Oryctolagus cuniculus: one gene and its partners. The protein of the gene in region 2 purifies or fractionates together with the protein of the main gene of each other region. This does not show direct contact. Links are inferred from orthologs where the notes say so. Each region holds a gene or a part of one and is shown on either strand. Other genes may lie near its edges.

Region 1 (3,647 bases), on a different chromosome or scaffold from region 2:
TGGGAGATTGGAGTAGTCCTGTTTGCCAGTATTAACTGTCTGCAGACAAAGCTGATGAAGTGTAGGAGCTTGGCACTCCCTTCCCTAGCTGTCATCCATACAGGAAGATGAGGGAAGGAATGCACTACAAGTGATCTTCCCAAATTGAACTCTGTAGATTTCACCAAACTATTATTGGCATCACCTACTCTCTAGTTCTTGCTAAGATACCTGTAAGGATAAAGAGAATTTACCAGTGTCCTAGCCATCTTTGGACAATTCTGACAAAATTTTCCTCTTACTTCTGCCTTCTATATAAGATGGCTAAGCAAGGAAGAAATAAATCTTCCCCTCAGAAACCGTTTCCCATTCCACACTCACTACTGCAGAACTGACTTGCTCTGATTCCTTGAGCTTTTTATTGATGTTATACATCAATATATTATACAATATTATACAATATATTATACAGCGGCAATGGCTTAGGTTAAATATGCATCTGAAAGAGTTGTGGGAAGTGTAAGACTATTTGGGGGGAAAGAATTTTTCCCAAGAAGTTTTCCAAGAATGTACCTTGCAAGGACTCTACAAAGCATACTCTCTATAGAGACAAAATGGTCTTTAATCTTTCTAATTAGGCTATATATTGCTGACTTACAGGAGATCATGTTGACTAATCACATTTCAAGGAAAATTACTTTTAAGATTCTATTATAGGCAGTCAGTCATTCTTTTAAAAAGATTTATTTATTTATTTATTTATTTGAAAATCAGAGTTAGAGACAGAGAGGCAGAGAGAGAGAGAGGTTTTCCATCTGCTGGTTCACTCCCCAGATGGCTGCAATGGCCGGCGCAGCACTGATCCAAAGCCAGGAACCAGGAGCTTCCTCAGGATCTCCCACGAGGGTGCAGGGGCTGAAGGACTTGGGCCATAGCAGAGAGCTGGATTGGAAGAGGAGCAGCCAGGACTTGAACCAGCACCCATGTGGGATGCTGGCACTGCAGGTGGCAGCTTTACCCACTACACCAAAGTGCCAGCCCCAGTCATTCATTCTTTATAGGTATTTACTGGAAATTATTAGAGAAAAAAAAAGCACATTGTTTCTTATGAAGTTGGTATTAAATACCTTGTGAGATGTCATTCATTTACGTAGTGTTTCAAAAATAAAAATATTAGGGGACAGGCATGTGGCTCAGCAGTTAAGGCGTACTTGGTATGCCTATATCCTATTTCAGAGTGCCTGGCTCCACTTCCATTCCAGCTTCCTGTTAATGCATAGCCAGGAGGCAACAGGTGATGGCTCAAGTACTTGGGTCCCTGCCAACTATGTAGGAGACCCATATTGAGTTCCAGGTTTCTGGCTTTGACCTAGTCTAGCCCCTGCTGGAGGGCACTTGAGGACTGAACCAGCTGATGGAAGGCTGATCAGTTTTCTCTCTCTCTTCCCCTCCGTGGGTATGGGGTGGGGGTGGGGGGGCCCTGACCTTTGAAGAAAAATGAAAATAAATTTTAAATGTTTTAAATAAATAAAAATATAAATATTGAAAGGTGATCTTTGTTTATTGAATGCTTTTTTCCAAGTGACATAATCAATGTAAATAACATAAATAATTCCATATAAATTATATTTTTAAAATAATTCTCAGCTCTAAGTGCCTCTCCACACCACTCTTCCTCAAGTGGAATGAGTTCATTAATTTTCCCTTCTGAGCAGAGTTTTAATAGCTTTTGCTGCCATGATGAAGAACATGTCATAGATACAGGCTTTTGGACTTTTTTCCATACTTAATAATGTTTAATCTTTTTTTAATTTATTTATTTATTTATTTATTTTGACAGGCAGAGTGGACAGTGAGAGAGAGAGACAGAGAGAAAGGTCTTCCTTTTGCCGTTGGTTCACCCTCCAATGGCCGCCGCGGCCGGCGTGCTGCGGCCGGCGCACCGCACTGATCCGATGGCAGGAGCCAGGAGCCAGGTGCTTTTCCTGGTCTCCGATGGGGTGCAGGGCCCAAGCACCTGGGCCATCCTCCACTGCACTCCCTGGCCACAGCAGAGAGCTGGCCTGGAAGAGGGGCAACCAGGACAGAATCCGGCACCCCGACCGGGACTAGAACCCGGTGTGCCGGCGCCGCTAGGCGGAGGATTAGCCTAGTAAGCCGTGGCGCCGGCCCCAATGTTTAATCTTTTGATATTTTCCTGAGACTTCTCTGCTGCCTATTTTTCCTCTGGGGATTTTGTTGACTCACAAAGACCCCATTATCCTCACAAAATCTCTGTGCCCTGGTGAATGTGAGAGTCCTTAGCCCATCGCATTTCACAGATATGTGCCTTGTGTTTTGATTGTTTCAGACTGGCCCCGATTCTTGGCATTCAGAAGCATTCACGGGAAAATGCGGTGTTCACACAGTTTATAGCCACCCTGCTGGATGAATTACATTTAAAGAATGAAGACCTCGAAAGTTTAACCACCATATTTAAAACAAGCTGTCAACCAGAGTGGTGAGTTGGATTGTGTTTTACTTTAGTTTTGCCTATGTAGATGCATTTTTCATACTAGAAATTTTAAAAACCAGGGGCTCATTAGGAAGAACATGGTCTCCCTCTGTTCTTAGCTGCCTCAGCCACTCGCTGTCTACGCTCGTATTCTGCGTCCCATCCTGGTAGCTATTCCTCCTTTTCAGGCTCTTGCAGTTCTGGTTCTTGCAATCCAGGAAACTCCCCACTCTCAGTTTCATCCTCTAGCTCAAGCCATCTCACATGTTCTTCTTGATAAGTGGCAGTTTACTTGGACCCCACCACTGCACTGATGCACTGTGAACACCCTCATCCTCTGCCTCTTCCATGAAATCCCCTCCTATCCAGCCTATACTTAGTCCGCTCCTATGTAGATAAGCAGGTGAACTCACAGTTCTGGCGTTGTTAAATCTTGCCTCTTTCAGAACTGCCCACCACAATGGACCTTCTTTATCCTGCCTTCATTGTAACCCTCCATCTCTTCCTTCTCATTTCACACACTCCCGACTGCTTAGATAGGAACCACTTTGATGATCTAACTGAAGGAATTCGTCTTAAAATACAAATGAGACCTTCTCAGGGAACTTTCCTTTAAAAAAAAAAAAAAAAGCTTTAAACTTTTTTTAAAAAGATTTATTTATTTGAGGCCGGCGCCGCGGCTCACTAGGCTAATCCTCCGCCTAGCAGCGCCGGCACACCGGGTTCTAGTCCTGGTCGGGGCGCCGGATTCTGTCCCGGTTGCCCCTCTTCCAAGCCAGCTCTCTGCTGTGGCCAGGGAGTGCAGTGGAGGATGGCCCAGGTGCTTGGGCCCTGCACCCCATGGGAGACCAGGAAAAGCACCTGGCTCCTGGCTCCTGCCATCAGATCAGTGCGGTGCGCCGGCCGCAGCACGCCGGCCGCGGCGGCCATTGAAGGGTGAACCAACGGCAAAAGGAAGACCTTTCTCTCTGTCTCTCTCTCTCTCACTGTCCACTCTGCCTGTCAAAAAATAAAAAATAAAAAAAATTAAAAAAATAAAAAGATTTATTTATTTGAAAGTGAGAGTTAGAAAGAGAGATATCTTCCATCTGCTGGTTTACTCCCTGGACAGGGCTGGCCAGGCCAGTGCCAGAAGCCAGGAGCTTCCTCCAAGTCTCCCATCTCCCACGTGGGT
Region 2 (4,202 bases):
CTTTTTTCCTATGCTAAGTCTTCCAGTCTGGTGTGGACTGAATGCTTACAGCGTATCTCCAGGGCTCACCAGCACCATGAGGCTACTTGCAACTCTAGAAACTGCCTGGCATGGAACAGGTCCCTGCAATACTGGTGGGAGGAGCACTGTCCTGGGAAGAGGCAGCCATGGCAATGCTGTGGCTGAATGTGTTCCCCAAAGGTCCTGTGTCAGAAGCTTAACCCCCAGTGCAGGTGATGAGAGGGGGATCCTTTAAAAGGCGGTTAGGTTATGGGGGCCGTGCCTTCACGGGTAGATTAATGTCATTACTGCAAGAACAGGTTTGTTGGAAAAGCAGTTTAGTGTTTATGTTCTCTCGTTCTCTCTCTCTCTCTCTCTCTCCATGTGATGCCCTCCACCGTGTTACAACACAGCAAGAAGGCCCTCATCAGACACAGTCCCTCAACTCTTGGGCTTCCCTGCCTACAGACCATGATTCAAATAAACTTCTCTCACTTACAAACGACCCAGTCCATGGTATAGTTAAGCAGCACCACACAGACTAAGACACTGCAGTAGCGGGTTTTCTAGTCCTCAGTTACACTGCACATGGACAATTTTTTCTCTAATTCGTAGTATGTTTTCTTTAAAGCATCATACTTTTTGTACTTTAAAAACTTTTTTCAGGCCGGCGCCGCGGCTCACTAGGCTAATCCTCCGCCTAGCGGTGCCGGCACACCGGGTTCTAGTCCCAGTTGGGGCGCCGGATTCTGTCCTGATCGCCCCTCTTCCAGGCCAGCTCTCTGCTGTGGCCAGGGAGTGCAGTGGAGGATGGCCCAGGTGCTTGGGCCCTGCACCCCATGGGAGACCAGGAAAAGTACCTGGCTCCTGGCTCCTGCCATCGGATCAGCGCGGTGCGCCGGCCGCAGCGCGCTGGCCACGGCGGCCATTGGAGGGTGAACCAACGGCAAAGGAAGATCTTTCTCTCTGTCTCTCTCTCTCACTGTCCACTCTGCCTGTCAAAAAAAAAAAAAAAAAAAAAAAAAAACTTTTTTCAATAAAACTTTCTATCACTTCTATAAATGGAAAAGGATGGTCTGGAAACAGAAGGTGTGGGCCTGAGTGGCTGCTGGGTCATGTACTAGCTCTGGAATCGAAGGCAAGGGCTTCAGCAAGCCTCAGTCTCTGCATCTGCGGGACAGGGACAACCCCAGCCTTCAGAAGATCTCCGAGAGGATTAAATGAGACGTGGGCGTACGCTCCTGGTAAAGGAGAAAGTACTCATTAAGTGATGAGAAGCCGATCCAAGCCCTTCTTTTATGCCTATCATGTTCACATAGACCAGCAGCACAGAAAACAGCAGCTTGCCTACTAGAGACCCAAGACTTGGGTTCAAATCCCTTGCCCAACACTTAACAGCTGTATGACTTTAGAAATTCATTTATTGCCAAACACTGACCAAGTGCCCACAACATGCCAGGCACTTGGCTAGTGGTCAAAGAAGCCAAATAAAACACGGTATCTGCCCTTGAAGATTCTTACGTCCAGCAGGAAGAGACCAGTAAACAAGAAAGAACACATTGGTTTTAAAAGTCAAGACTCCTTTAAGTCTGTCTGTTTCTCATGACGTGGAAAAAAGACCTTTCCCCATCTAAATCACAGGGCTGCTGCAAAAATTAACTTCTAAATGCTCATCAAACACTTCAAAAACCTGAACACCTCATACATTTAGTAAAGTCCTTTTGTTCTCTAACTTGTAACCCTGAACGACTCTGGCTCTTGTGTGTGCACGCATGAGACTCACTTCTGCAAAACATTCAGTGAACATTTACAGAAAGAGGAAGATGAACAGCTGTGACATGGGTATTTAATCTCAACATCAGGCGCCAGGTCATAGTTCTAAGGCACAGGACACAGACTTCTACCTAGCTACAGCTGGTCAAGATAAGCAGTCACGTGGTAAGGGAAGCTGAATAATTTAAACCACAGCCAGACCCGAAGTCGTTAGCACACAGGTACACGGTCCTCTAGCCGGTGTTCCGGCCGAGGCGGTGCTGGGCTAGGTCATGGTCAAGAGCGTAGGCTGAAACCTTCCTGCAGCCACAGCAGAGCGCCCACGCTTTCTGTCTTCAGCCTCGAAGACGACTTGATCAAGGGGGAAAAGCCCCAAAGAAAGGCGATCCTGAAGGGTTAGGTTCCCAAGAAGTGGAAACCCGACGCCCGCGGGACTAAGTGGGTGTGACGAGAGCAAGACGACCAAGATTCTGTGATCCCTCCTGAAGTTTAAAGATGGACTGAGCCCGAAATCAAGTCTCGGGGAAACATCGCTGCCAAAGACGCAGCGGGGAAGACGCCCTCAGTGGGGCTCAGGCGGCATCTCCCGGGCTGCTCCCCTGCCCTGCCCGCCCTATGTCCATCTCGGCACCCCCTTCCCAGCTCCGTCCCAACTCGCCCTTCCCCTGCTCCCTCCACAGAGATCGCGATGCCTGTCCCTCCAGCCCCCCGGCACCAACGCGCCGCGCCGCTCCCGGAAGCACCGGCTCCCGGCCGGCCACCTCGGAGCGGCCCCACGCGGGCCGCGTCGCGCCCACCCCGCTCGGGCGGGAGCCGGGACACCCCTCCTCGGAGGCCGGAACCGCCGCGCCAGGCCCCTCCCACAGGAAGCCGCCGCCCCCCGGCGCCCGGGCCGCGCCGCCCCCAGCCCACCGCGCGCCGCCCGCCGCCCCCGGCCCGCTCCGCGCCCCGCGCCCGCCCGCCGCGCCCGCCGCGCCCGCGCTCGCTACCTGCCCCGGCCCCAGAAGCGGCGCCCAACTCCTCTCCCACTTCCGCCTTCCACCGCCCGCACTCGGGCCGGGTCACGTGGCCGCGCGCGGTCACCTGACCCGGAAGAGGCTGGCCGGGCTCTCAGGTGCCGGCAACCTAGGCCTGGCCTGCGAGCTTTTGGCCTCGAAGAGGCCCGGGTCCTGTGGCCGTGTGTATAAGGCGAAACTTTTGCCGCTCATGAATTTGTTTCCCAGCAGTCGTATAAACTGAGGGCTCGCCAGGTGCCACGTGCTGGCTTTATCTGCCCAGCAACGCTAGGGAGGCGCGTGCTGTGATTTAGACCCATTTTACAGGTGCGAGGAGATCCTCTTTCAATTGGGTCAAACAAATCACGAGTATTTGAGCTCCTTAGTGGGGTTAATAAAGTTATTAAAGTGAAATCTCAGATAAATTTCAGTTTCGGGTAAACAACCGTGTCTGCCCAATATCCTACATGGGATATATTTATACTAAGATTATCTGAAAATCACATTGGATTGTGCCGCTTGTATTTGTGTTTGATAATCCTGGTGACTCAATGCCTGCCACGTGCCAGGCGCGGTTCTAGACTGTAGAAGCAACAGACCTGTCCGTCGTGGAACATCTGGGACATGAAGTAGAACAGCTTCGAAGCCCCTGCCTGGGGGCATAAAATGCCCCCTATCACGCCCAGCCAACCCCTGTTCCCTTCATCTGCAGGTGCATACAACTTAGCAAGAACATTTTATGTCAACATCCCTTACTAACGGCGCAGGGCCTCAGCTTTGACAAGTTGGATGAAGACTGTTTTTCACTTTTAATTACCATTGGTTAAAATTAATACTAGCAACCTAATTACCCCGTTTTGTTTTTTTTTTTGGGTGGGGGGAGCCTTAGCATTTGGATGGATCCAATCATGCACACAAATGAAATTGGTTGAACTCAGTCCCTTGCCTTTCAATAATATACAGCCATCTCTTAATTCGTTAAACCTGTTAAACCCTGCCACGAAACTGACGCTTCTCCAATTTCATTGTCGGGCGTTTTCCTAATTCTGCTTTAGAGGAGTGAGGAAAGGCTTCCTTGTGGGGTGGGCTTTCAGTAAGTGTTCACCAAAGAGCAAGAGGACTAAGTAAAAAGCATGCAGGGTGCATTAAGCAGTGAAAGCTAGAAATATAGGTGGTCACCCGCATGGTTCCCCTCCCCACAGTCCCTTCTTATTTCTCTTCTCTCACCCCCACTCTGCCCTTTGGCCACTCTGGCCTCAGGACCTTTGGACTTGCTTCTCCCAGTGCCTGAAAAGCTCTTTCCCCATATAGTGAGACAGTAACGACCACTTCCCACCCTCTCTCTCTCAGATGTTTGCTTAGCTGTCACACAGCAAAGCCTTTCACGATCACTCTGTTTAGGATACAACTCATCTCTCTGCTGTGGCCCAGGAG
Region 3 (3,647 bases), on a different chromosome or scaffold from region 2:
GTGTGAGATGGCGCTGGCCCCCGGCTTGCTGGGCACTGCCTTGCTTTTTGGGGTCACTGGGTCACTAGGACCCAGGAGTTTGTTTCCATAACCCCCCTGCAACGCATATGGGATGGTGTAGGGGTGTCTCTCCCGCATCTCGGGCTGGCTGTACACCAGGTCCTCCTGCTGGTTGTAGGCGTGGGTGTTGATGATGTTGAGGTTGCGCAGAGATTGGCTCTGGCTGTCCGCGTGCACAATGCCCCTCTTCATCTGCCGCATGACCGTCTCATAATCGGGGGTGGGCCTGTAAGACGGCACAATGATGGCGCTGTGCCGGTGGCTGGGGATGTAGTCAGCTCGCATGATGTCACTCCCAGGGATGCTGAGGTTGGAGGAGACAGGTGAAGCCTGGATGAAACTCTGGGAGCAGTTGAGGGAGTTGATGCTGTGAACGCTACACACGCTGCCATTGGTGACGGTGCCATTTAAATAATTTAAGTCCAGGCTGTTGTGAGAGTTGCAATACAAGGCTTCTTCATTCCCATGAAAGATGCTGTCTGCAAGAGGTCAAACAAAAGCACGTTAACCTTTGGGTCATCCTGTTTTAATAAAGTCCATCCTTACATTCATGGGGAGACTTAAATGAGTCATAAAGTATAAAATCCCAGGGTGTCCACACACATACTCCATAGAAAAACCAAAAGTATCTCAGACGAGATGCCAGCATATGGGAAGAACATTCTAGAGCATGATGAAGAGAAATCCTGAACGTAAACAAAGCTATGCAGATTTGGAACAGGTATCGTCTGGGTAAGTTTTCAATTTAGCCATGAGCTTTCAAATCAGGCATTCACAACAGGCCTCACATCGGATGGACCTGTCCTCCTGCACAGGGCTCATCAACAGCCCTAGAGGTTTGGCCAGGAAGGCAAGAACTTTAAAAGACAGATAGATTAGGGGCCAGCGTTGTGCCATAGTCCAGTGTTGCGATGTAGTAGGTAAAGCCACTGCCTGTGGCACCAGCATCCCATACAGTGCCAGTTCAAATCCTGGCTGCTCCAATCCAGCTCCCTGCTGATGGCCTGGGAAAGCAACTGAAGATGGCCCAAGTACTTGGGCCCCTGTATCCATGTGGGAGACCCACAAGAAGTTCCTGGCTTCCGGCTCCCGACTTTGGATCAGCCCACTTCCAGCCATTGCAGCCATTTGGGGAGTGAACCAGCAGATAGAAGATCTTGTTCTCTCTCTCTCTCTCTCTCTCTCTCTCTCTCTCTGTAACTCTGCCTTTCAAACAAAATAAATCTTACAAAAAAAAGTGATAGATTTGAGGTTTCAGAGTATGTGGAGCTGCTTTTCTGGCGGCAATGCTCAAGGTCTCTTTACCTGAGAGGCTGCGACCTCAAGAAGGCAGAAGACACACAATGAAGCAAGAACAACTGCATGGCTAGCTCATTCTGAGCGGCACCCAGGGCAAGCAACAGTCAGATCTGCAGTTCCGGCCGGGTGCTACAGCACAGTGGGGGAAGCTGCTGCTTGCGATGCCCACTGCCTATTCTGCCCTGCCTGCTGCACCTCCAATTCAGCTCCCTGCTAATGTACCCAGGAGGCGCCAGATACAGCTCAGGTATTTGAATTCCTGCCAGCTCTGTGGCAGACCTGGATGGAGTTCCTGGCTCCTGGATTCAGCCAGGCCCAGCCCTGGCTATTGTGGCCATTTGAGGAGTGAAAGCTGAAGGAAGGTCTCCCCCTCCCACCACCCCTGTCTCCATCTCTTTCTTTCTTTGTGTCACTCTGCCTTTTACATAAATAAATCTTTAAAAAAAAATCAGGAATTCTTTTAGCCACTCCCAAAATCCTCCTCTAGACCTAGTTTCATCACTGAGGTCCATCCAAATAAATACTAATTATAAAGAAGAAACTAAAGAGATTAAAAACGTATTTCTAAAGTGAGGTCATTCTAATTGTGCAGAGTCCTTTACACACACACACACACACACACACACACACTTGAGAAAGGCAACCTCTTGACAAAACACACTTCTGTACCCAAAATACATTCATTTTCTCACTATAGATTTAAGAATTAGCCAAGCAGAGGAAGATGAAAACAGAAAAGGTAAAAAGTAGAAATCATGATTAAAAGTATTCAACTGTCGGGGGCCAGCACTGTGGCGCAGCGGGGTAAAGCCCTGGCCTGAAGCGCCAGTATCCCATATGGGCGCTGGTTCTAGTCCTGGCTGCTCCTCTTCTAATCCAGCTCTCTGCTGTGGCCTGGGAAAGCATTAGAGGATGGCCCAAGTTCTTGGGCCCCTGCACCCATGTGGGAGAGCTGGAAGAAGCTCCTGGCTCCTGGCTTCAGATTGGCACCAGCTCCAGACATTGCGGCCATCTGGGGAGTGAACCAGCAGATGGAAGACCTCTCTCTTTGTCTCTACCTCTCTCTGTAACTCTCTTTTAAATAAATAAACTAATAAAAAAATTCAACTGTCTGAAGAGGAGGGGTATGAACAGATCTGATCAGATGAGAAAGGGGGGAAAAAAAGCAAAAAGCAAAAAGAAACAAACCAGGATACAAGCAGGTTGCAATTTATGCACTTCCAATGGGATTTACCCTCCCCTAGAGGCAGGGTAACTTTGCTATCTGCTTTTTTTTAAAAAAAAGTAGTTTTATTCAATGAAAAAGTCTTGATTGTCTTGTTTTTTTCAAGCTCACACTTTGTGTCACAGGATTCCATCCAGCCAGGAGACAATGGAGATACCAGGGCTCCAGGTTATAATACATTAGTGGTTTCCTACCATCTCATCCTTTGAGATGCCCATTTTCACATCCAAGTTCTACCAGCAACCTCTCTGTACCCCAATTCTGTATCTGTAAGCTGGAAATAATCACAGGTTGATTTTGAGGAATAAATGAGTCAACAGATAGCAAGGACTTAGAACAGTGCCTCACACATCATGATTGTTCTATAAGCAATCATTATAATGGTGATTACTATTGGAATGGGCTTTTTCACACATTTTGCTTAAGAGAGAAGAGGACTAAAACAAAGTTTCTTTACTCTGAGAAGCAACCAGTTAAGTACCTTAAGAAAGGGGCTAGAGGAAGAGAAGAGGAAAAAAAAAAAAAGCAAAAGAAAGGGCCGAGATGGATTTTTTTTTTTTAATTTTAAGAGACAGAGAGCTCTCATCTGCTAGTTTGCTCCCCTAAATGCCTACAACAGCCAGAACTGAGCCAGGCCAAAGCCAGGGGCCAGGAACTCAGCCTGGGTTTCCCACATGGGTGGCAGGAATGCTAGTCCTTGAGCCATGGTTTGCTGCCTCCCGGGGTGCACATTAGCAGGAAGCTAGAATTGCAAGCGGAACTGAGACCCACAGCAGACCCTCCAATATGGGATATGGGCATCCCAAATGGTATCTTAACACCACTCCAGAGACCATGAACGACTTCTGGTCATGCCAGATGCCTGTATCCCCTGTCTCCACGGAAAGCTGACTGACATCTACAAGCTTCTGATACTGGCCCTGCAGGTGATGTCTCCCAGTCAGCCACACTGCCACCCTCCTCTCTAAGCCCACAGAAGAGAGGGAGGAGGAAAGAAGTCCTTCATCACCTCAGCCCTGACTCCCCCTGCAGTGAATTCCGGGCAGGGTTGTCTCCAGGGGTA

What was found.
Region 1: the proteins of WWP2 (region 2) and RPAP2 purify together in Homo sapiens (affinity purification with mass spectrometry; 3 studies listed by BioGRID and IntAct, with this or other methods). This does not show direct contact. The link is inferred for Oryctolagus cuniculus from reciprocal best matches to the Homo sapiens genes WWP2 and RPAP2.
Region 3: the proteins of WWP2 (region 2) and PTPN14 purify together in Homo sapiens (affinity purification with mass spectrometry; 3 studies listed by BioGRID). This does not show direct contact. The link is inferred for Oryctolagus cuniculus from reciprocal best matches to the Homo sapiens genes WWP2 and PTPN14.

Annotation. Positions count from the first base shown.
Region 1 is NC_091438.1:78,238,377-78,242,023, reverse strand, and holds part of RPAP2 (putative RNA polymerase II subunit B1 CTD phosphatase RPAP2), read left to right. Parts: intron 1-2,329; coding exon 2,330-2,479; intron 2,480-3,647.
Region 2 is NC_091449.1:52,876,828-52,881,029, reverse strand, and holds the start of WWP2 (NEDD4-like E3 ubiquitin-protein ligase WWP2), read right to left. Parts: upstream 2,899-4,202; 5' UTR 2,763-2,898; intron 1-2,762. UniProt on the Homo sapiens protein: E3 ubiquitin-protein ligase which accepts ubiquitin from an E2 ubiquitin-conjugating enzyme in the form of a thioester and then directly transfers the ubiquitin to targeted substrates.
Region 3 is NC_091444.1:28,672,140-28,675,786, forward strand, and holds part of PTPN14 (tyrosine-protein phosphatase non-receptor type 14), read right to left. Parts: intron 540-3,647; coding exon 1-539. UniProt on the Homo sapiens protein: Protein tyrosine phosphatase which may play a role in the regulation of lymphangiogenesis, cell-cell adhesion, cell-matrix adhesion, cell migration, cell growth and also regulates TGF-beta gene expression, thereby modulating epithelial-mesenchymal transition.